Rattus norvegicus: one gene and its partners. The protein of the gene in region 1 interacts with the protein of each later gene in a pairwise test. Links are inferred from orthologs where the notes say so. Each region holds a gene or a part of one and is shown in the gene's direction. Other genes may lie near its edges. The genes, in order: Lsm3, Lsm10, Clns1a, Tcl1a and Keap1.

Region 1 (3,958 bases):
GTAGATGCTATACTTGGAGAGCATAAACCTAAGGAGGTTTTAAGTAAGAAGACAGAGGCATAAGGTTTTGTTGTGGTTCTACATCCATTTGGCTGCTAGATGATGGGGCAGACAGATGAGAGGAAGCCAGAAAAGAAGCAACCTGAAGTTCATTTCCTTAACGATATGGACAAGATCTCTAGCTATAAAATTAAGAGAATTAAGTACAGATTTCGGTGGTTCCAAAGCTGAACTGGACTTGATGCCGAACTGGCAGTTAAGAAGAGATGTGTTCTAACGTGTGTTTTAAAAGGGATGATTTATTGAAATAGAACAACTGGGGGGATGGATATGTTTAAGGGGAAAGATGGATCTTGTTCAAGATCTAGATTAAAAACTCATTCCAGCCAGGGCGTAATGGTGCATGCCGGTTAATCCCAGCACTAGGGAGGCAGAGACAGGCGGATCTCTGAGTTTGAGGCCAACCTGGTCTACAAAGCAAGTTCCAGGACAGCTAGGTCTACACAGAGAAACCCTGTCTGGAAAAACAAAGCAAAAAACAAGAGTAACAGAAAGCGCATCCTAAAAACCCGGAGCTGGAGTTACACTGGATGGCAGTCAGGAACTTGATGAGAGAGATCTCTCACTACAGGTCTCCCTCGGTCCTGGTTTTTGGCATCTCCTGAGATACCAGGCAATTGCGAAGCTTTCTCCAGCTCGGCCTTCAACACTTGCTATGGGGCTGAACTTGGTACTAAAGGTTAACCGAGGGGTTAAGACAGATAGCAGAGGCCCTCGGGGGCTGGAGGGGGGACGCATCGGGCCGTAAAGACCTTGCGGTAGACACAGATCCGCTCCGCCGCCCGCCCCAGCCTCCGCCACCATCGCCTGACATGCTGCAGACTTGGCCTCTCACCCGCATCGCTCTCCTCAGGCCGGGTTGCTTTGTTGTCCTCGGCTTCCTGGCCGCGCTTCCTCCGCTTTCCGCCTGCGGTACGCTTTCGGGCCATGCTAGCCAGAGGCGTTCCTCCGGACAACCACGCAGGACTGCCGAAAGTCTCCGCGTGCCGGCTCCGCCCCGAGGCGTGCCATGCCTGGCCGCACCCCCAGCTCCGGATAGGACCACGCCCTCCAAAAAATCCCGCCCCCATGCAAACTACAAGGGCGCGAAGGGACAAAAATAGTGTAGTTCGCCTTCCAGTGCGTGGCGGCCCAACGTTTCCTAGTGTCTGCTCTCGCGAGAGGTGGAAAGGGCGCAGCGTTTGAAACATGGCGGACGACGTAGATCAGGTAAGTTTGTCCTGGGGCGTCCGAAGAGGAAGTGCTTTCGTTTCTTAGCCGGGCTTGCTTTTTCCACGCTTCCCGTGGAATGGCCCTTTTCTTTTTCCCGAGTTCCCACGGCCTTCCGCAGCCAGGCCTGCTCCTAAAACTTCCGTAGGCCCAGAGTTTCTCAACCCGCCCATCTGCCCATCTCGCTCGTCGTCGCCCTTTCTCTGTAGAATGCAGACGGCTGTGGATATCCCATCTATGGGAGATACGGTCGGGATTCCGACAGAAAGAGTACTGTAGCGGTAGGACACCAGCATAGTAATACGTGTAAGCACCTGGCACGCAGGCAGTGGCTCACTTGGAGTGTGTTACGAGGGGAGGTCAGATAAAAGGTGCAGTTATGTGAGATAGAGAAACTGCTAGAGATGTAGTATATAGAAAACAAGCAAAGACCTGGCACACAGTGTTTCTCTTCAGAGCATGTTGTTTTAAATGTGTTCTTTATTTAAAATGTTCGTTCCACAACTAGAATATAAGTTCCTTAATAGGGATTTATTGGGGCTTAGTGGTTAAGAGCACTTTTGGCTCTTGTAGACAACCCTGGCTGTGTACCAACACCCACATGTTGCTTTCACTGCTTAACAGTGATTGAAACACCACACTACCTCAGTGTTCCATTACTAAGCCTTCTTCTCTCATCAGCAACAGACCACCAATACCGTAGAGGAGCCCCTGGATCTTATAAGACTCAGCTTGGATGAGCGAATTTATGTGAAAATGAGAAATGACCGAGAGCTTCGAGGCAGATTACATGTAAGTCTGTTAAGTTATCTCAAAACCAGATGCTCCCCTGTCATCCCTTCCTACCTCCTTACAGATAAGAACTGCAACATAAACTTATTTTTTTTAATTATACAATGACTTTTGGGAGTTGGAAATTCCTTTATTGGCTTTTAAAATATTTTTTCCTTAACCAGAATGTTTTTTAGAGAGGGATGGGACTCCTGTGAGACCAGAACAAGGCATCTGATTGCCCAGAGCTGGAGTTACAGACAGTTGTGAGCTGCCTGGTGTGGTTGCTAGGAGCCAAACTCAGGTCCTCTGCAGGGATAACCAGTGCTCTTAATTTGAGCATCTCTACAACCCTGTAGAACACTTTTGTTTTCTTCAGCTTTGTCCTCTGTTTATTTAAAATGAATAAACTTCTTTTTGTTTTAGACAAGGTCATACTATGTAACCCAGCTAGCTTCAAACTCAAGATCCTCCTGCCTCTCTCTCCTTAGAACTGGGATTTTAGACATGCACTACCACTCTTGCCATTGTCCTATGTTTTTAAAAGTTATTGGACAGGGTGTTTTGGTTTTCGACATATAAAACTCTCCTTTGACATGAAAAAAACTAAATAGCAGGCCAGAGATCGTTCACCTAGTATGTGGCAAAGCCCCTAGCACTACCAAAAAAAAATTAAACACCATAGAAATCTAAAGGTGAAATTCCATTTTCTCTGCACTATTCAAAGTTGGCTACATAGTCGTCCACATCTTTTCTGCATGTGTATATGCTGTCTGTGTTTGAAGGAGGATCCTAGTGAGGTACGGTGGCATGTGCCCATAATTCCAGTACTTAGATGACTGAGGTAGGAAGGTCATATATTTGAGGCCAGTCTGGACTACATAGTGAAACCTTGTCTGGTATGTACACACCTTTTCCACACGGTTTCTGTGTGGAATGATTATGCAGCTGACACAGTTGCCCAGGATTCTCTATAAGGCTTCGGTCACTTTTTTGTTTTTCCAGCCTTAAAACTGCATTGTGCACTTTTACATATATTGCTTGTGCACATTTATGATGCCTGTGGAATTGGTCCCTTGAAGTAGCATTATTGTGCACTTAGGGTTTTGTCTCTTCTTGTTACTTTCCTCAGAGCTGTTGGTTTACAACGGGAATTGGAATTAAGTCTTTTTAGTTCAGGCTTAGAAATAGCCCCATACTGGCACCCACAGAGCCAGTGTGGGGGACAGTCTCAGTCTTTCTTCTATGAAGAAATTTTTAGTTCTTTCATGAAACCTGAGGATAAAGAACCTCTGTGACTTGGAAGGAAATTGGACTGTTGATCTACAAGCCAGCATTAGGGAAACAGCGGTGCCAGTTTGGTGAGAAACATGGGATGGAGCTAAATTGAAAGGCTCTTCGGCACATGGAATGACCCCAGGCTAGACCATCGCCTTTAGTTTGGAGGTGTCTGAAGCTCTTACCTCTGTAGTAAGTGGCCCAGGTTTCTGTTTCCTCCCTGCTCTCCAGCTGAACATTTTGCTCATTTGTGTAGCTGCCAAGCAGTTCCTTCTCAATGTGGCGCCTGGCTATTTTTAATCTTGATATGAGCAGGCAAAAGCACTTAGCACTTTGTTAGAAGAACATATAAGTGGGTTCTGAACAAGCCCCAGGAGGTTTGCTGTTAGTAAAAGGGATGAACTTTGGAGGTTGCACTAAACACTGTGGTTGCAATCCTTCCTGCCTGAGCCCACAGATGCCAAAGCATGTTAAGCTCTGGACAAGTTATAAATGGGCAAAGTAAAGGTGGGACAGATGATTGGTGGGTAAAGTTTGAGTGCTGAAGTTTAGATCCCTAACACCTGTGGAGACCCCAGAACAAGCTCTTGCGTTCAACTTAAAGACACTACCTTAATACATACGGTGGGGAGCAACTGAG
Region 2 (3,672 bases), on another chromosome or scaffold:
CTCCTAAAAAATGAAAGAACAATACATCCAGCTCTTGCAGAGAACCCGAATCGGGTTCCCAGTACCCGCATCCAGCAAGTAGCTCACAATGGGCTCACAACTATAACTCCAGTTCCAGGGGATCAGACACCCTCTTCTAGCCCTCCTGGCTAACACACACACACACACACACACACACACACACACACACACACACACACACACACACTTTAAATAAAGATGTTATTTGTTATTTTTAGGAGCAGGAGAGATGGCTCAGGTGTTAAGAACACATACACTCTTTCAGAGGACCTGAGTTCAGTTTTCACCAGCTGTACCTGTAGTCCCATGGAATTGATGCTGCCTTCTGAGAGCAGCCACCACTCACACATTGTATGCCATTACACGCGAACACAGAAACAGATAAGTTAAAATTAAACCTTACTAGATTTGTTTTTTTTTTTTGTTTGTTTGTTTTGTTTTGTTTTTTTTTTTTCAAGACAGGGCTTCTGGCTGACCTTTGTAGACCAAGGCTGGCTTTGAAGTACAGCGATCCACCTGCCTCTGTCTCCGAGTGCTAGGATTAAAGATGTGTGCTTCCATGCCCAGCTCTAGATTTTATTTTTAACTGTTAATTACAGGCACTTGTGAGCTGGGAATCAGATTTAGGCCATCTGCAATAATATACAGTATTTTTTTTTAAAGATTTATTTCATCGGACTTCATTATGGATGGTTGTGAGCCACCATGTGGTTGCTGGGAATTGAACTCAGGAACTCCGGAAGAGCAGTCAGTGCTCTTAACGCTGAGCCATCTCTCCAGACCGTGTGTGGTCTTAATTGCTAAAGTTTAGCACTCTCTCCATAGCCCTGTGTTTTCCTCTTTGAGACAGGGTTAGCTATCCTTGCTCTCCTGGTCTCTCCAACTCACAGAGCGCCTCTGTCTCTGGAGTCGCTGGAATTAAGGGAGTTTGCCACCACGTCCGGCCACATTCGCTGAATTTTAATCAGGTGAAGAACGTTTAACTTTTTTTTCCCTTATTTTTTTTTTTCCAGATGCTCTTTCTCACGCAGCGCCATCAGCTCAGAAGGCCAACAGGGGACACAGCTCCAAGCCCCAAAGGTGGAAGCCTACAAAGGTGGAAAACTAGGTAGAGAAGGGGAGTGGACGTGAGGCGCGCGGCCTCCTGGGACTTGTAGTCCGTGTCCTGCGATGCGCATGCTCTGATGCTCTGGGTCTCCCGCGGTTGCCATGGCTTCTCTGAGCCTCCGTGGGTGTTCCCCTAGACACAGGCGGGTTTTGGCGGCGTAGCGCGCGGAAGGCGGAAGGCATCACGCGGTGGGTCGGGCAGTAGAGTGTGGGGACTAGGGTTCGCTGGGACCCGGGCGGCCTCTTCCCTTGGCGCACTGGCTGCGGACTCTTCTTCCCAAACCCCTTACGCGCGGTGAGGAAAGGGACGCACTAGGCACCCGACTTTCCCGGATTGACCGCTAATGGCAAGCCCCAGGCCTCCCTTCCTGGAAGCAGCAGAACCGGAGCTAAAGTCAGGGCCTGCCTGGAGATCTCAAAGACTGTCCTTTTGGATTTTGTTTTAAGACAGGGTGTCGGTCTGTAACTCGGAGATCCACCTGCCTCTGCCTCCTGAGAGCTGGGCTTAAATGCATGCATCTTGGTTGGCTAGGCTTGGCTTGTTTTGTTTTGGAAACATTCCATAATCCAGATTGACCCGGAGTTCACGATATAGTTCAGGCCGGTTTGGCGTTTAGGGTGCTTCTCCTGCCTCAGACTTTAATGGTATAAGTGTGCCGCCATCATGTTTGGCTAGATTGCATATTAACAAGCGCTTGGCAGAGGACATACATAAATTACAATTTACAGTAGTGGTTCTCAAGCCGATTGGCACATTAAAATTATCAGGGGTGCCTTTAAAAAAAAAAAGGTATAAACTAAACATAGTAGCACACGCCTTTAAATCCCAGCACTAGAGAGGCAGAGGTAGGAGGATCTTGATGAGTTTGAGACCAGCCTGGTCTACATAGAGAGTTCCAGAACAGCCAGGGCAACCTAGAGAAACCCTGTCCCAAAATCATTTAAAAATAGCACACACCTTGAATCTCAGCACCTGTGAGAAGAGACAGGTTGATCTCTGCGAGTTCCAGGCCACACTTGTTTACATATCAAGTTCTAGCCTACTCAGGGAGATATAGTAAGACCCTGTCTTTAAAAACAACAACAAAACCAAAACAATCTGGACCTCTCCTTCCCAGGCAAGTGAATCTCTCTGGGATGCGTGGGTTGCGTGGTATGCATAGGCCAGGCAAAAGTTTCCCCAGGTGTATCCAGTGCAGTGAGGGGTCCGGAGCACTAGTGTGGAGTTTCAGGGCTTTGCAAAGGTAAGTTACCATCTATTTGTGTGTTCCTGCCCACAGTGAGCAGCCAACCAATGTGGAAAAATGGCACTGAGCCACTCTGTGAAGGAGCGAACCATCTCTGAGAACAGCCTGATCATCCTGTTGCAAGGCCTCCAGGGACAAATAACCACTGTGGACCTTCGAGATGAGAGTGTGGCCCGAGGACGCATCGACAACGTTGATGCTTTCATGAACATCCGTCTGGCCAATGTCACCTACACCGACCGCTGGGGGCATCAGGTTGAGTTGGATGACCTTTTCGTGACAGGTCGTAATGTCCGATATGTCCATATCCCAGACGGTGTGAACATCACTGCCACAATCGAGCAGCAGCTACAGATCATCCACCGTGTGCGCAACTTTGGTGGCAAGGGTCAAGGTCGTCGAGAGTTCCCCTCCAAAAGGCCATGAGACTGTGTCCTCATTCAAATTCCAGCACCACCTCAGGGACCTCCAGTGTTCTGAGCCAACTCCCGTCCATCCTTCCCCACCAATGACCTGGTGTCTTATAGACACATCACAGCTGCCTTTCATAGGGTTCCACTTTTCAGACACACCTTGGGACCCAGAATTCCTTCTGCTGGTGGCCTTGGGGTAGGTGACAATCCCTCTTTTTGATCATTTGTATCTGGAATCTCCATTCACTGATTGACCCCATCCATCAAGGAGTTGTTAACTCTGCCAGTGAGGATTACTTGAGAGTGTTTGGAGTGAATCACCTCTAACATCCCATTTCTCTTGTCATTTGTTTCTTTTCTCATAAAACCAAACTCCTGGGACTTGTAGTCCTTGTCCTGCGATACACATGCTCTAATGCTCTGGGTCTCTGCCTGATGCCCTGCCTGGTGTGTACTGGGCTTCTGGCTCCTGTGTAGGAGCAGAGTGCAGGTGGAGAGCACACCAGGATTTACTTGGTCTGGATTGTGGCCCTGTTTCCCAGATTATTACGAAAAAATCTAACGGAAAGTGGCCTTTCTGTTGGAGAGTCCTTGAGACTATCATTTTCCTGCTAGTCACTAAAGCCCAGAGTCTGGATGCCCTGGTCCTCCTCTCAGGCTGGAGAGTTCAGCTAATAAGAAATTGATCTCAGCCAGGCATAGTGTTTCACATGTATAATCCTGGCTTTCAGGAGGCTAAAGAACAAGGATCAGCCTCGGCTAAGGGTGAAATCCCTGCCTCAAAAAACCAAAGGAGACCAGGAGTAGTGGTGCACACAGTAGGATTTAATGAAGGAGGCAGAGGCAGGAGGATCATGAGTTTGAGGCTAGTCCATGCTAAGTGT
Region 3 (4,273 bases), on another chromosome or scaffold:
CTCATCCATACTCCACTCCCACCTTCTCATTCCTGTCAGTGGACCAATTTTCTAGTCTCACTAATGACAAACTGGCTAAATTTAAAAGCGTTAACACTTGGAACTGGAGACATTGGACCAGCCTCTGAGAATGCCTAATGCAGATGGTTTCACTGCACCCAGGCAGGGTAGCTTACACCTGCCTGTAACGAGTTCCAGCAGATCCAGTGCCCACTTCTGGAGTCATTGGGCAACTGCACTCAATATGTACACAGAGGTTTTTTTGTTGTTGTTTTGTTTTTTTAAATCGTAAGGAAAAAAAAATCTAAAGATACTTCTGTTGAGACGATTCCAAAAAGAAAAAAAAGGAGGGGTGGGGGAAGGAGGATGAAGAGAAAGAGAAGGAAGAGGAGGAAAGACAAAACTCCCATCACATTCTACATGTTATCCAACCTAAACAGCCCTGACCCCATAGACATTACAATTCTACAGCCAAAAAAGGTGGAGTCTAGAGATCAGCTGACTGAATTCCATCCACCAAGTCATTACCAAACTTTAGCTTGTGAATTTAATGGTCTCATCTGTAAAACTGGGTCAGTAATAAAAATGTGTTCATATTGTTTATCATCAGAATAAAACTGAATTGAGCAGGTGTAGTGATGGATGCCCGTAATAGTTCTAGTACCCTAGAGTAGGGTGCATATCGATTATGTATTGGAGGCCAGCATGGGCTACAGAAGGAAGCCCTGTATCTAAAACCACGAACGAATCCATGAAGAAATAAGAGGTAAGGTCCTTATGCTGTGTGTTCTATAAGCCTCGGTTATAGGTTTCTATTTACTAAATCTGTATGTTTTCACTGCACGTATTTTTTGGGGGCCTAGCAAGCTGGGAAGGCAAGGGTTCCAGACCTTTTCCCTGGGCACTGTCTTTTGACTGTCTGGCCGCGCTGCTGATCAATTAATGTAATCTTTTTGTCTTCCTGGCGTGACACGTGGGGATGGGGCACTCGACCTCTCCGGCGACATGGGAACTAAAAGGCCTGGTAAATGGCTGTGTGAACCCAAGAAGAACAGGCCCGACGAGGAGGAAGCAGGGTGCACCCAACCCGGAGATTTTTGACCTCCAGATGAGTGTGGATTTTATTTCTGTGCGTCCTGCTCAGGCAAGGGACTCCAGGGGCCTAGGCCCATTCCCACTTTTTATTGGGAAAGTCTTCGTATTCCTCATACAGCCTCTCTCAGGGTTTTCTGCGACGACCTTGAAGTAGAACCACAGAGAAAACACTCGGTTATTCTAAGCACCCTTACGGGAGCCTGAGAAGGGAACCAGTATCACGTGACAGAAGGCCGGCTCGCTACAGATCTCTGAGTTGCCTAGAACATCCCGTCTCTATGGTCAACTGCACGCGAAATTCCTCGATGAGAAAGTTGTTCTTCCGGAGTACGGCTACTGCTTCCGGGGCAGCTCCCTGCGAACCGGGATTGCGGTGCTCTGCTTTCTTGGTTCCTGTGGAGCAATGCTTTCGCCCGCAATGAGCTTCCTCAAAAGCTTCCCGCCCCCTGGGTCCGCAGATGGACTCCGGCTGCAGCAGCCAGACACCGAAGCTGTGCTGAACGGGAAGGGGCTCGGCACCGGCACGCTTTACATTGCGGAGAGGTAGGTTCCAGGACTCCGGCGCCGGCCTCCTTCGGGGGCGCCTTCCTCCCAGAGGCGCGACCACGGGGTACTACAGGGGGGCGTCGGCCGACGCTGCTGTTATGCGGGCCCGGTGGGATTACCCCCCTCCGGAGCTCAGCTGGCTCTGTTCTCATTAACGACTTGTGCCTGTCTCCTGCAAGCCTGGCGCGTGGTCGCGTTTAGTTTTGAGTCTGCAGAGCCTCGGCTAGTTTTTCGATGGGCCTGGCTTTCTGAATGATCGTGTGAACTAGATGTTTTCCCTGCGTGGAATATGTAGCTCAGAGGAGATTGTGACGGGTTTAGGACGTTTGATTAATGAGCTTGGATTTTCCGCTCCAGATGTGGGTGGGGGAAAAGAGCATCTTCAGGCCCTCGCAGGGCGGAGTCATAACCAGTCGAACCCGACTCCTGGATGTGCAGGTCTTGGAAGGAATTCTTGTATTTGACTACTTGCAGGACTTTGTACTTCCACAATAAGATAGACGAGTCACTAAAATACACACTATACACACGCTCATACCTTCGTGCCCACCCCCATATTTTCCTGTTCTTATTCTCTCTGTCTCCCTCTCTCTGTCTCCCCCCAACCCCACACTCACACCCCCACTCCCGCCTTACTATCTTTCTCATACTTTCTGTCCTTCAGATTCTCTGGTTTACCATCTGCTGTATTTCATTTGTTGGCCCCAGAGGCTACTTTTCTTTTAAGAGCTCAGTGTTATAAATAACATTAGGCCTGCCTAGAAAAATCCAAGCTAGCCTCCTTTATATCACAGTCAGTTGATTAGTAACCTTAAATACATTCAGAATCCCCTCTGTCATGGCACTGGGAAACAAATCTCTTAGGGACCAAGATTATGCCTACTCCAGAGTCCAGGGTATAAAAGTGTAAGAAGTTAATTGTTTAAAGAACTGTTTGGATGGTGGGGCAAAGCCTGGGTGTTTAGACACCGACTGGAAATACATATGTGGGTGGGCACTCAGTTTGTTTGTGTATATATATACACACACACACACACACACACACACACACACACATATATATATATATGTGTATATATATATATATATATATATATATATATATATATATATATATAAAAGGTTTGGAGCAGTCAGGAGGGAGAAAGAAAGGGGGTGGGTAGGAAGAAGTGGTGGAGATTCATTCATTCATTCTGTAAGTTCTGTTACTCTAGAGAACCCTGACTAATACACATGGGTGGAGAGATGGTTTAGCACTTAAGAGCACTAACTACTCTTCCAGAGGTACAGAGTTCAATTTCCAGCAACCACATGGTGTCTCACAGCCATCTGTAATGGGATCTGATGCCGTCTTCTAGTGTGTCTGAAGACAGTTATAGTGTACACACATTAAATAAATAATTAAATAATATTAAAAGACATCAAAAATACACATGGATAAATAAAATGGATCTTGTTTTTCAGAGTTAGGATTATTTCTGTGTTTCACACTCCACATGCAGAAGAAATTGTTGAGATCACCCAAGATCTTACTGTGTGTACCTTCCCTCTCCTAAGTCTTTTTCTCTTTACGCATGCATTTCTCTAAGGTCCTTTGCCTGGCCCTCTCTTCTGGACTATATAGCCTACTCCAGTGAGTATGTTAATACCTACTCTTTTGAATTTCAAATCTGTCTTTTGGACATTTGATCACACTGTGAACCCCAAGAGTGTATACTAGAAAAGTCCTTTTTTTCTAGTCGTGGTGTGGCTCAGCCTTTAGCACACCTCTTTATAGCCTCTGACTGGAAGACAGACACATCCTTAGTATACACCTTGAATCCTAAACAGTGAAGGTCAAGTTAGTTTGTAGAAGGAAGCACCATGATTGAAAGTGATGTCTAAATGAGTGGCAGACAGAGTGATGAATCAGAGAAAGACTTGACCAAATAGGATATGCCCAACTCTCAGGAGAAATGAGAGGAAAGGGAAGCTATTTAAGAGCTGTGCAGAAAAAGGAAGGAGACAGTTTTACTGGAATAGTTGTACAGAGACAGGTTAGAGAAAAAAAAGGGGGGGGGGGGCAGAGAATGAGTAGTCAGATCAGCTAGAGTTAGTTTGATGCCAAGCAGAACAATTCAGGAGAAACTGAGAGAAACCAGATTGAATCAGCCATCTTGGAGAGGAGTTTGCCCCAAAAGAGCCAAGTTAAACCAGTCAGAAAGAATGGGAAAGGGCGAGTTTTTTCAGCAGTAAGTCTAGCCTAGATTAGATTGTACGGAGGCTAGAGTCTTCCAAGACTAGGCCTAGGTTAGCAGCGGAGGAATTAAACTTCAGAGATGACACTTACTGTAGGAGAATAAAAGTTATTTTTATGCTGTTTGATACCAGTCTCCTAAGATACAGACACAGAAGCCCAACTACTCCATACATACACCAACCAAACTCACCCCTCAACATACCAAACTTGCTTCCCTTCACATTCATGTGTTTCTTGCATAAACACCTGGCTTTGTCCACCATCAGAGTTGCTCTATAGATGAAGAGGGTTTTGTTTTTTTAAGCACTTTTATACCCTGAACTCTGCAGTAGGCATATCTTTTGAGAATATGGATTTGTTAGGATGACTTACAGGTGAGGTCTAGTTAATCCA
Region 4 (4,220 bases), on another chromosome or scaffold:
CTACAAGGACCTACGATGTTTTTCTCCGAGCCCTACATGGCAGGCACACCCAAATACAAACACAAAATAATGAATTAAAAATAAGTAATTGGGCTGGAGAGATGGCTCAGCGGTTAAGAGCACCCGACTGCTCTTCCAGAGGTCATGAGTTCAATTCCCAGCAACCACATGGTGGCTCACAACCATCTATAAAGAGATCTGGTGCCCTCTTCTGGTGGGTCTGAAGACAGCTACAGTGTACTTGTATATAATAAATGAATAAATCTTTAAAAAAAAAATAAGTAATTATCCTCCTGCTAAGGCTGCACTCACCCAGAACTTCCACACCAAGCTTATTCCAAAAGTCTTCATCTTTCTACGAAGTTACCTGGGTTTGGAGACAGTCATCTACAGGGAAATGGGCACAAAAGCAGCTAGTCTGAATTCTGAAGGCCAAGGTCTGCGCTTGAAGGGCTTAAGTCTTTTCTTTGTTTCTTTTTCCGGTTAATCTGAACCCACCAGGCTGACCTCAGGCCATTTTGACACTTCTGGGGGATTGACCTTCCGAAGACCACAAATGGCTTCCTCCGTGAGTCCTCAGTGAGGCCAAGGCTCAGATGCTAGCTGAAGGGCTGTTTGAAGCATCCAGCCCAGAGTTGGGTTTTCCATGTTTTCCATTAATTTCTTAATTGCCTTAATGGGCAGGCGTTACTGTAAAATAATGAAAGTTGGTTTTCCTTATTTGTTTACAACGAGACAGTTTTGGTTGAGCAACTCAGAGACTTTCCAAATCCATTGATCTTGGGTGTAGGGAGGGTTTCTTTTTAAGTTTGGGTCTGGACTGATGCATTCTCTAAGTCGGAGGACAAAGACAGTAAACCCATGTTTTCAAAAGTATGTTTTGCAAGACTTATTAGAAGACCACAGCCTCATCAGAGCCATGGAAAAAGTCATGAGCGGAAGAGGGAGGGGACTGAACTTTGCAAAGGAAACTGCCTGTGACACCCAAAAGGACTGGCTGAAGGTGATGGAGAACCGGACTGGTTTCTGATCCCAGGAGATATGTAGATGGACCTCACTCTGGGTGTTCTGCCATGGGGGTGTGTGTGGCTTGAGCAGTCACACAAAGTAGCTAGGACCGTGGGGTCTCACCATAAAGGACGCAAAGGGCTGTTTTTCCTGACAGGTCATGGATACCTTTCCGGTGGCCGGGTGTACCTGGAGAGAAGCAACATCTCCTGGGGGCCTTGAAGAACCCTAGGTCTGATGGGTCAGGTCTGCAAACGTAGACCTGGTGGAAGTCCACTTGAGTGTCCTGCATACCATCCTTGTGGTTCGCCCCACCCACACTACGCTGCCCCGCCCCGCCCCGCCTCGCTCCAGGGGGCACAGGCCCACACCTGGTGGTGATAAATAGCAAGTTTCTTATGCTCTCTGCTTAGGAAGTCGCTTTATCACGGACTGGCATTGCAATTTTTTGCTTCTTGCTCCGACCGGATGCCATGGCTAACCAGCTGGCATACAGGCCAGAGACACCCCCACACCCCGACCGCCTGTGGCTCTGGGAGAAGCACGTGTACTTGGATGAATTTCGTCGCAGCTGGTTGCCGATAGTCATCAAGGTACCAACCGCCTTGGGGCTAGCAGGTCGGGCAGCAGGGGTATACCCTGTCTGGGCTTGGGAGTCCTGGTAACAGGAGACCAGAGTACAGCGGGTCCCTTGTGCCTGAAACAGGAGGACTAGGGAAACCCCAGATGAGTCGGGCCTTGTGGGCCTGCCTGGAGGAGGGTGGGGGCACCCCGAGTTCAGTGAACAAGCCCCTCTCACACATTGCCTGGGGTGTGTGATTATGATTTGGGGTGAAACAAGGCTTCCCTAAACCATAAAATTGGGTAGCCAGTAGTATCCACGTTGGTAATAAGACTTAACTTTGTTTTGCGTGTGGAGTCCTCGGCATGGGTCTTAATGAACATTGGTGCTTTCAAAAGAAATCTCTTCTAGAGGTACTTTCCAGCAGAAAGTATTCCACTTGTAAAGCCAAGAGAAGCTATAAAAGCAAAATTAAACTGCTGAGACGTTGCGTGGTACGCCAGGGCCTGAGAACTGGCTCCACTCCGGCAAAGTTGGGGATTGTGAGCCTTGGGAGTGACTAGTAGATGGTGGGGCTTCCTGGCAGACTTGGGGTGCTGCTAGTAAATGGTGGAGCCACAGTTCTGGGCTCTTAAATTTACATTCTTGCTGTCATTTTACAACGCTAACTTTACATATATCTAGTTTTTTTTTTTTTAAACATTAAGTCAGATGTGTGAAGACAACATGGGTGGCTATTTCTTGTTAATATCCGGTTAATGACTAGCTTTTCATGCAAACCGTGAGCCAACGAGTGTTCCAGAGGTGTGGTAGATGCTGTCTGAACAGGAGGAGCCTGGTAGCGAACTCCAAGGCAGGGTTTATTTCCCATGACTGAAGAAGCCGTGTATGTGTGCTTTAATAAGGAAACAGGATAATTTGTAACAGTGGTTAGATTGTTGACTCAGGGGCTGTGAATGGTGGAGCTTACACACCTGGCACCACAATCTGACTTAACAGATTCAACTGATCTCGTCGTCCGCAGATCATTACACAGGAGTGGTCTCACGTTGGGGGAAAAGTGCACTTGTTAAACACCTGAGAGTGCTTAGTGTAAATCCCAAACACAGGTCTGCACTGAGGGCATGCAGGGAGTATGGTAGGAGCCCTATTCTTGGGAAGGAGGTGCAGTGGGGAATGGGGTAACCAAAGTAATGATTAGGCTGGCAGATGAGTCCTGTGGGGGAAGAAAGTAGGCATGGGGGTTGGGGGCGGGGGAAGTGAGTTGTGCTGTGGAGAGGGGGCGTCAGCACACTGTGAACTCACAGACTGTGGTCGCCTGTCACATTTTGAGTCGTCTTGTTTCAAATTGCTTTCTCTTCCCCTGCACTGCTGACGAGCAAACCCAGGGCTCTGTGCAGAACAGACGAGAACTCTACTGCACAGCCACAGCCCAGCCCTTTTGTACAGGTCTTCAGTTTTGAGACTTGGTCTTAGCTGCTTAGGTTGACCTTAAGCTCCCTTTGTATCCCAGGTAGGCCTTGGACTTAGGATCCATCCTCCTGCCTCAGCTTATTGAGTAGTAGGCATTGCAGGCCTGTGCTGTTTGGTCCCACCAGGTCTTAACTGGTCTGCCTTGTATGGTTTGCTTGTACTGGGTGTGTGTGTGTGTGTGTGTGTGTGTGTGTGTTGGGGGAAGATGCTTTGTGTGTTTAGGTGGTGAATTTTCCGTTTTGTTTTTTCCATCCCAAATCGGTGGATAAAACTCATTTTCAGGAGCTGGTGAGGTGGCTGAGACCAGGTTTCTCATTGTCTTAGGGTTCTCTAGAGCCATAGAACTTACGGGAGAATTGGTCAATGACTTAGTCTGTAATCCAACTCTCCAACCATGGTCAGTAGCAGCTGTGAATGGAAGTTCAAGGTTCTAGTGGTGGCTCAGTGCTACAAGGCAGGCAGACAAAAAAAGAGACCCTCCGTTCTTCCAGTGTCCTTATGTAAATCTCCAGCAGAAGGGGTGTCCCAGATTAATGGTTGTGTACTCCCATGCCTGGGTCAGGTACTTGTTTTGTCCCAGATGACCTTGAACTCAGAGATCTCCTTGCCTTAAGCTCCTGGGATACATAGCCACTGTGCCTCAAGATCCAGGTTAGAAACTTGTATCTCCCAGCCTCAAGATCAGGATCAAAGGTGAGCCTTCCAATTCTGGATTGTAGTTCATTCCAGATACAGTCAAGTTGACAACCAGGAATAGCCACTACGGCCACCAAACCCAATGACCTGAGTTTGATTTCCCAGGATGCACATGATGGACAGGAACTGACTACATGTGGTGCCTATGTGGTATTCTCCCTTGATTTCAGCACTTGGGAGGCAGAGATAGGTGGAGCTCTGTAAGTCTGAGGCTAGCTTGGCCTGTAGAGCAAGTTCCAAACTGGCAAGAATTAGATATGATGAGGTCCTGCTTCAAAACAATGAATTTTAACTCCTGTCAGTTAATAAAACTGTATGTTTCATCACTACTCTAACGTGGTTTTTATGTAGTGTTTGTTCTTTATAGACCTACATTTGAACAGAGGGCTGCCCAAAAGGGAGCTCGCCCTTCACAGATTTGGTGAGGCTTGCTGCGTAGACTGTGAGAACCCCACAAACCAGGCATCACATTGTGGCTGGG
Region 5 (4,209 bases), on another chromosome or scaffold:
GCTGGAGAGATAGCCCAGCAGTTAAGAGCACTGGCTGCTCTCCCAGAGGACCTGGGTTCAATTCCCAGAACCCACATGGCAGTTCACAACCATCTGTAACTCCCGTTCCAAGGGATCCAGTATGCACCTTATACAGACATACATGCAGGCAAAACAGCAATGAACATGAAATTAAAAATAAATTGAAAGAAAAAACCCAGAATACACATTTGTAATCCCATTGGAGAGATGGAGACAGGAGACAGAGTTCAAAGCTAGCCTGGGCTAAAAATGACATCTTGTCTGCACCAGTCAGTCAAATAATATTAAATTTTTTTATTTATCTTTATTTTATGTGTATGGGTGTTTTGTCTTCATGGTTGTGGTGCTTGTGGAAGCCAGAAAAGGGTATGGGATCCCCTGTAACTGGAGTTATAGGCGTTCATTTTGACCCTAATACCAGTTCCGGGAATTGAACCTGGGTCCTCTGAAAGAGCTGTCAGTGCTGTAATCACTGAGCCATCTCTCCAGCACCAATAATAACTTTATTTTCCAAAATTAATTTATGTGTGCATGTGGAGGTTGGAGGACAACTTGGAGGAGTAAGTTTTTTACTACCACGTGAGAAACAGGGATGGAACTTAGTTGCCAGAATTGGCCAAATCTTATAGGTCAAGAAAATAATTTTCTCTCATAAATGCCTTTGTAGCAAATAAGAATCTCTTATCATATATATATATATATATATATATATATATAATGAGAAATGCAAAGAAAGGCAATTCTGGGCATTCCAACTCTCCAACACCCTCAGATGAATGCCACACCTCTCCTCATGAAAAAATGACTACAGAGAGAGGAGAGAGGAAAGTGGGCTGCTGTTGCACCTTGCAGGCTCCACATAGGGGAAGAGAATCAGTTTCTGCCAGTCATCCCCCGACCTCTACACACAAGCATACACACAAATAAATTAATGTACACAAAGCCCTGCGTGGTGTCACAGCCTTTAAACCCCCACCCCCCCACTCCCCCTCACCCCGGCACGCAGGAGGCAGAGCGAGAGGCAGAGGCCAGCCAGGGCTATGTAATGAGGCCATTCTCAAAAAAGAAGTTATAAGGCTGGGGTGCTGGCTCAGCAGTTAAGAGTACCTGTTGCTCTTGCAGAAGACCAGAGTTCAATTCCCCCTCTCCACAGGGTGGATAACCTGTAACTTTAGGGGGCACTGCACGCCCACGGGGCACAGACATACACGCAGGCAAAACACCCACACACATAAAGTAAAATGCGAATTGAAATAGAAACCATTAAAAAGTTATTTTAAAGGAAGATCTGTATCTCAACCAGGTACATAGGTCTGGCTGGGCCGGGTAGGGTGTGGGAGGGTCCGCTGGGGCAGGTTCAGCTAGAGGCGTACTGGACAGCCTAACCCGGAGGCAGGCTCCTAGGGCCGCCCTGACCCACGCCCTGCTCCCTCCGCCCGGCACCTGCAGGAAGGGCTGGAACCGCCTCTGCGTGCCCGCCGCCTGTTTCCGCCCTCCCGCTCCTCCCACGCGTGCCGCCCGGGACCCCGCAGCACCGCTGCCCCGATCCGAGGCCCCCTGGCTGCCCTCGGCTCCTCCCGGAAGCGCGGCGCGTGGCGGCCCGGCGGTGCGGATTGGACGCGTGGCACCAACAGAGACACCCGGGGGGGTGGGACGGAGGTGAGCGAGCGCCCGCGGAGGATGCGGTGGGGAGCCAGCTCCGGGCGCCGCCCGCGGTCGCGCGTGGGGACGTGCACGCGGTGGGGGGAAGCGCGTGACCCCTCCAAGTGCGCACCCGCGCCCAGCCCGTGCACCCGCGTAGGGTGGTGGCCGAGGCGAGTCGAGGGTAGGGGTCGCCCGCGGCCGGCGCCCCGGGACTCTTATTGTGACAGGGTGGTGCGCTGTGCTTAGTCACCGTGACCCGCGCGGCGGAGGCGGAGGCAGAGCGCGGCCATGGCGGGGTGAGTGCGCCGCTCCGGGCCGCGGCCCGGGACCAGGCCCTGCGGGCTCTCCAGGCGTCAGGGCTGCGCCTCCGAGCGTTAGGGAGGCCGCTGGAGCAGGCACCGGGTACCGGGTGGCTGCTGCTCAGCCCTCTGCGCAATGCCAGGCCCGAGCTCCGGCAGTGTGGTCACGCGTGACAGTCGCTCACTTACTGGGGCCCCTGGAGCATTTCATCGTCGTCCCCCCCATGGTGACCTAGTAGACATAACACTGGGGGACGCGACTCCAGGCTGAGCCCCAGAACCTGGGGAGCCAGCTGCAGGCCCTCTCTGTGTCCCCACATCTCCTTTGAAAGCATAACTCCTGTCCTGGCCCCAGGTCTCCAAGGGTCTCCTGAATCCCTCACCGTGGGTGTTCCAGAGGCTGCACACTCTGCCCAGGGCCTTGGTGCTCGCCTAGTGTTTTCTATACAGACCTTGCTTTATTTTCAGGCCTTTTCTGTCTTCCTGCTGTGTCCCTGGAGCTCAGAACAGTTGCAAGTATAAATGGCAGGCTCTGTAAATTTTGGTGAGGTGTTGAAGAAAGGGATTTGACATGTCGGATGAAGGGAAGGGAAGCATGGCTGGAACTGAGTGAAGAGGTCTAGAAGGGGGTGTGGAGTTTTACAGGCCATTGAGGAGCTGGGTTTCCACTCTTGGGCTCTGGGATAGGTATTGGGTGATTCTGAGCAGGAAAAGGAACGGCCGGTGATTTGAGAAGAAGTCAGTTTGAATGGAGCCGGGTGTGTCCAGTTCACTTGGCTTGACAAAAACTGCTCTAGAAATCATTGCTTAGTCTAAAAAAAAAAAAAAAAATTAAAGCTTGGCTAGATATGGTGACACAAACTGTAGTCCCAGTACACGGGAGGAAACAGCAAACAGCCTTGTTTACATAGTGAGTTTGAAGCCAGCCTAGGCTAAGACCCTGTCTCAAAAGAAAACAAGAAACAAACAAACAAACAAAAAAAAAATGTGGCAGGGTCTGGCCTAATCCAGCCCTGTACTCTTCCCTCCTTCCAGGCCCCTAATCGCTAGTGGTGGAACTGTATCTTGTCATCAGGAACCCCATGCAGCCCGAACCCAAGCCTAGCGGGGCTCCCCGCAGCAGCCAGTTCCTGCCCCTGTGGTCAAAGTGCCCGGAGGGGGCAGGGGACGCGGTGATGTATGCATCCACGGAGTGCAAGGCGGAGGTGACGCCCTCGCAGGATGGTAACCGAACCTTCAGTTACACACTAGAGGATCACACCAAGCAGGCTTTTGGCATCATGAACGAGCTTCGGCTGAGCCAGCAGCTCTGTGACGTGACCCTGCAGGTCAAATATGAGGACATCCCAGCTGCCCAATTCATGGCCCACAAAGTGGTGCTGGCCTCCTCCAGCCCAGTCTTTAAAGCTATGTTCACCAACGGGCTTCGGGAGCAGGGCATGGAGGTGGTGTCCATTGAAGGCATCCACCCCAAGGTCATGGAGAGGCTAATTGAGTTCGCCTACACGGCCTCCATCTCCGTGGGCGAGAAGTGTGTGCTGCATGTGATGAACGGGGCAGTCATGTACCAGATTGACAGCGTGGTCCGAGCCTGCAGCGACTTCCTCGTGCAGCAGCTGGACCCCAGCAACGCCATCGGCATCGCCAACTTCGCCGAGCAGATCGGCTGCACGGAACTGCACCAGCGTGCTCGGGAGTATATCTACATGCACTTCGGGGAGGTGAGTAAGACCTGGGGTTTGGGCTCAGTTGTCACAAGAAGTGGGATGGGCCAGCATAGTGCTCTCCGAGACTGGAGCGGCCATTCAAGGCTGGAGGAAGATTTCTTTTTTTCTTCCTCCTTTTCTCCATAGGGCCTCATGTAGCTCAGGCTGGCCCTAATCTGGTTGTGTATCTGAGGATGGTTTTAAGTTCCTGATTCCTGTGTCAGTCTCCCAAGTACTGTAGTCACAGACTCCCAGTATACTTAAGAGATACTGGAATGGAACGCAGAGCCCCAGGACTTGGTTTTACTTTTGTTTTTAAATCTTTTTTTAAAAATTCATTTACCTTTATTTTGTGTGCATTATTGTTTTGCCTGAATGTTTTTCTATGTGAAAGGGTCAGGTCTTGGAGTTACAGACAGTTGTGAGCTGCCACGTGGGTGCTGGGATTTGAACTCTGGTCCTCAGGAAGAGCAGTCAGTAGTGCGCTCAACTGCTGAGTCATCTCTCCAGCACCTTAGATTTTATTTTTTTTGGCAGAC

What was found.
Region 2: the proteins of Lsm3 (region 1) and Lsm10 interact in binary tests that used the Homo sapiens proteins (3 or more experiments, as listed by UniProt). The link is inferred for Rattus norvegicus from reciprocal best matches to the Homo sapiens genes LSM3 and LSM10.
Region 3: the proteins of Lsm3 (region 1) and Clns1a interact in binary tests that used the Homo sapiens proteins (3 or more experiments, as listed by UniProt). The link is inferred for Rattus norvegicus from reciprocal best matches to the Homo sapiens genes LSM3 and CLNS1A.
Region 4: the proteins of Lsm3 (region 1) and Tcl1a interact in binary tests that used the Homo sapiens proteins (3 or more experiments, as listed by UniProt). The two-hybrid records come from large-scale screens. The link is inferred for Rattus norvegicus from reciprocal best matches to the Homo sapiens genes LSM3 and TCL1A.
Region 5: the proteins of Lsm3 (region 1) and Keap1 interact in binary tests that used the Homo sapiens proteins (3 or more experiments, as listed by UniProt). The two-hybrid records come from large-scale screens. The link is inferred for Rattus norvegicus from reciprocal best matches to the Homo sapiens genes LSM3 and KEAP1.

What each region holds. Positions count from the first base shown.
Region 1 is NC_086022.1:125,577,037-125,580,994, forward strand, and holds the start of Lsm3 (U6 snRNA-associated Sm-like protein LSm3), read left to right. Parts: upstream 1-1,148; 5' UTR 1,149-1,248; coding exon 1,249-1,269; intron 1,270-1,950; coding exon 1,951-2,061; intron 2,062-3,958. Other genes in the region: Xpc (DNA repair protein complementing XP-C cells), read right to left, coding at 896-989. UniProt on the Homo sapiens protein: Plays a role in pre-mRNA splicing as component of the U4/U6-U5 tri-snRNP complex that is involved in spliceosome assembly, and as component of the precatalytic spliceosome (spliceosome B complex).
Region 2 is NC_086023.1:143,657,223-143,660,894, forward strand, and holds Lsm10 (U7 snRNA-associated Sm-like protein LSm10), read left to right. Parts: upstream 1-1,333; 5' UTR 1,334-1,423; exon of another isoform or gene 1,424-2,250; intron 2,251-2,408; 5' UTR 2,409-2,432; coding exon 2,433-2,801; 3' UTR 2,802-3,162; downstream 3,163-3,672. UniProt on the Homo sapiens protein: Appears to function in the U7 snRNP complex that is involved in histone 3'-end processing. Increases U7 snRNA levels but not histone 3'-end pre-mRNA processing activity, when overexpressed. Required for cell cycle progression from G1 to S phases.
Region 3 is NC_086019.1:161,429,196-161,433,468, forward strand, and holds the start of Clns1a (methylosome subunit pICln), read left to right. Parts: upstream 1-1,473; 5' UTR 1,474-1,498; coding exon 1,499-1,638; intron 1,639-4,273. UniProt on the Homo sapiens protein: Involved in both the assembly of spliceosomal snRNPs and the methylation of Sm proteins.
Region 4 is NC_086024.1:129,892,957-129,897,176, reverse strand, and holds the start of Tcl1a (T-cell leukemia/lymphoma protein 1A), read left to right. Parts: upstream 1-1,420; 5' UTR 1,421-1,481; coding exon 1,482-1,601; intron 1,602-4,220. UniProt on the Homo sapiens protein: Enhances the phosphorylation and activation of AKT1, AKT2 and AKT3. Promotes nuclear translocation of AKT1. Enhances cell proliferation, stabilizes mitochondrial membrane potential and promotes cell survival.
Region 5 is NC_086026.1:28,051,238-28,055,446, reverse strand, and holds the start of Keap1 (kelch-like ECH-associated protein 1), read left to right. Parts: upstream 1-1,404; 5' UTR 1,405-1,680; intron 1,681-1,821; exon of another isoform or gene 1,822-1,961; intron 1,962-2,999; 5' UTR 3,000-3,046; coding exon 3,047-3,685; intron 3,686-4,209. UniProt on the Homo sapiens protein: Substrate-specific adapter of a BCR (BTB-CUL3-RBX1) E3 ubiquitin ligase complex that regulates the response to oxidative stress by targeting NFE2L2/NRF2 for ubiquitination.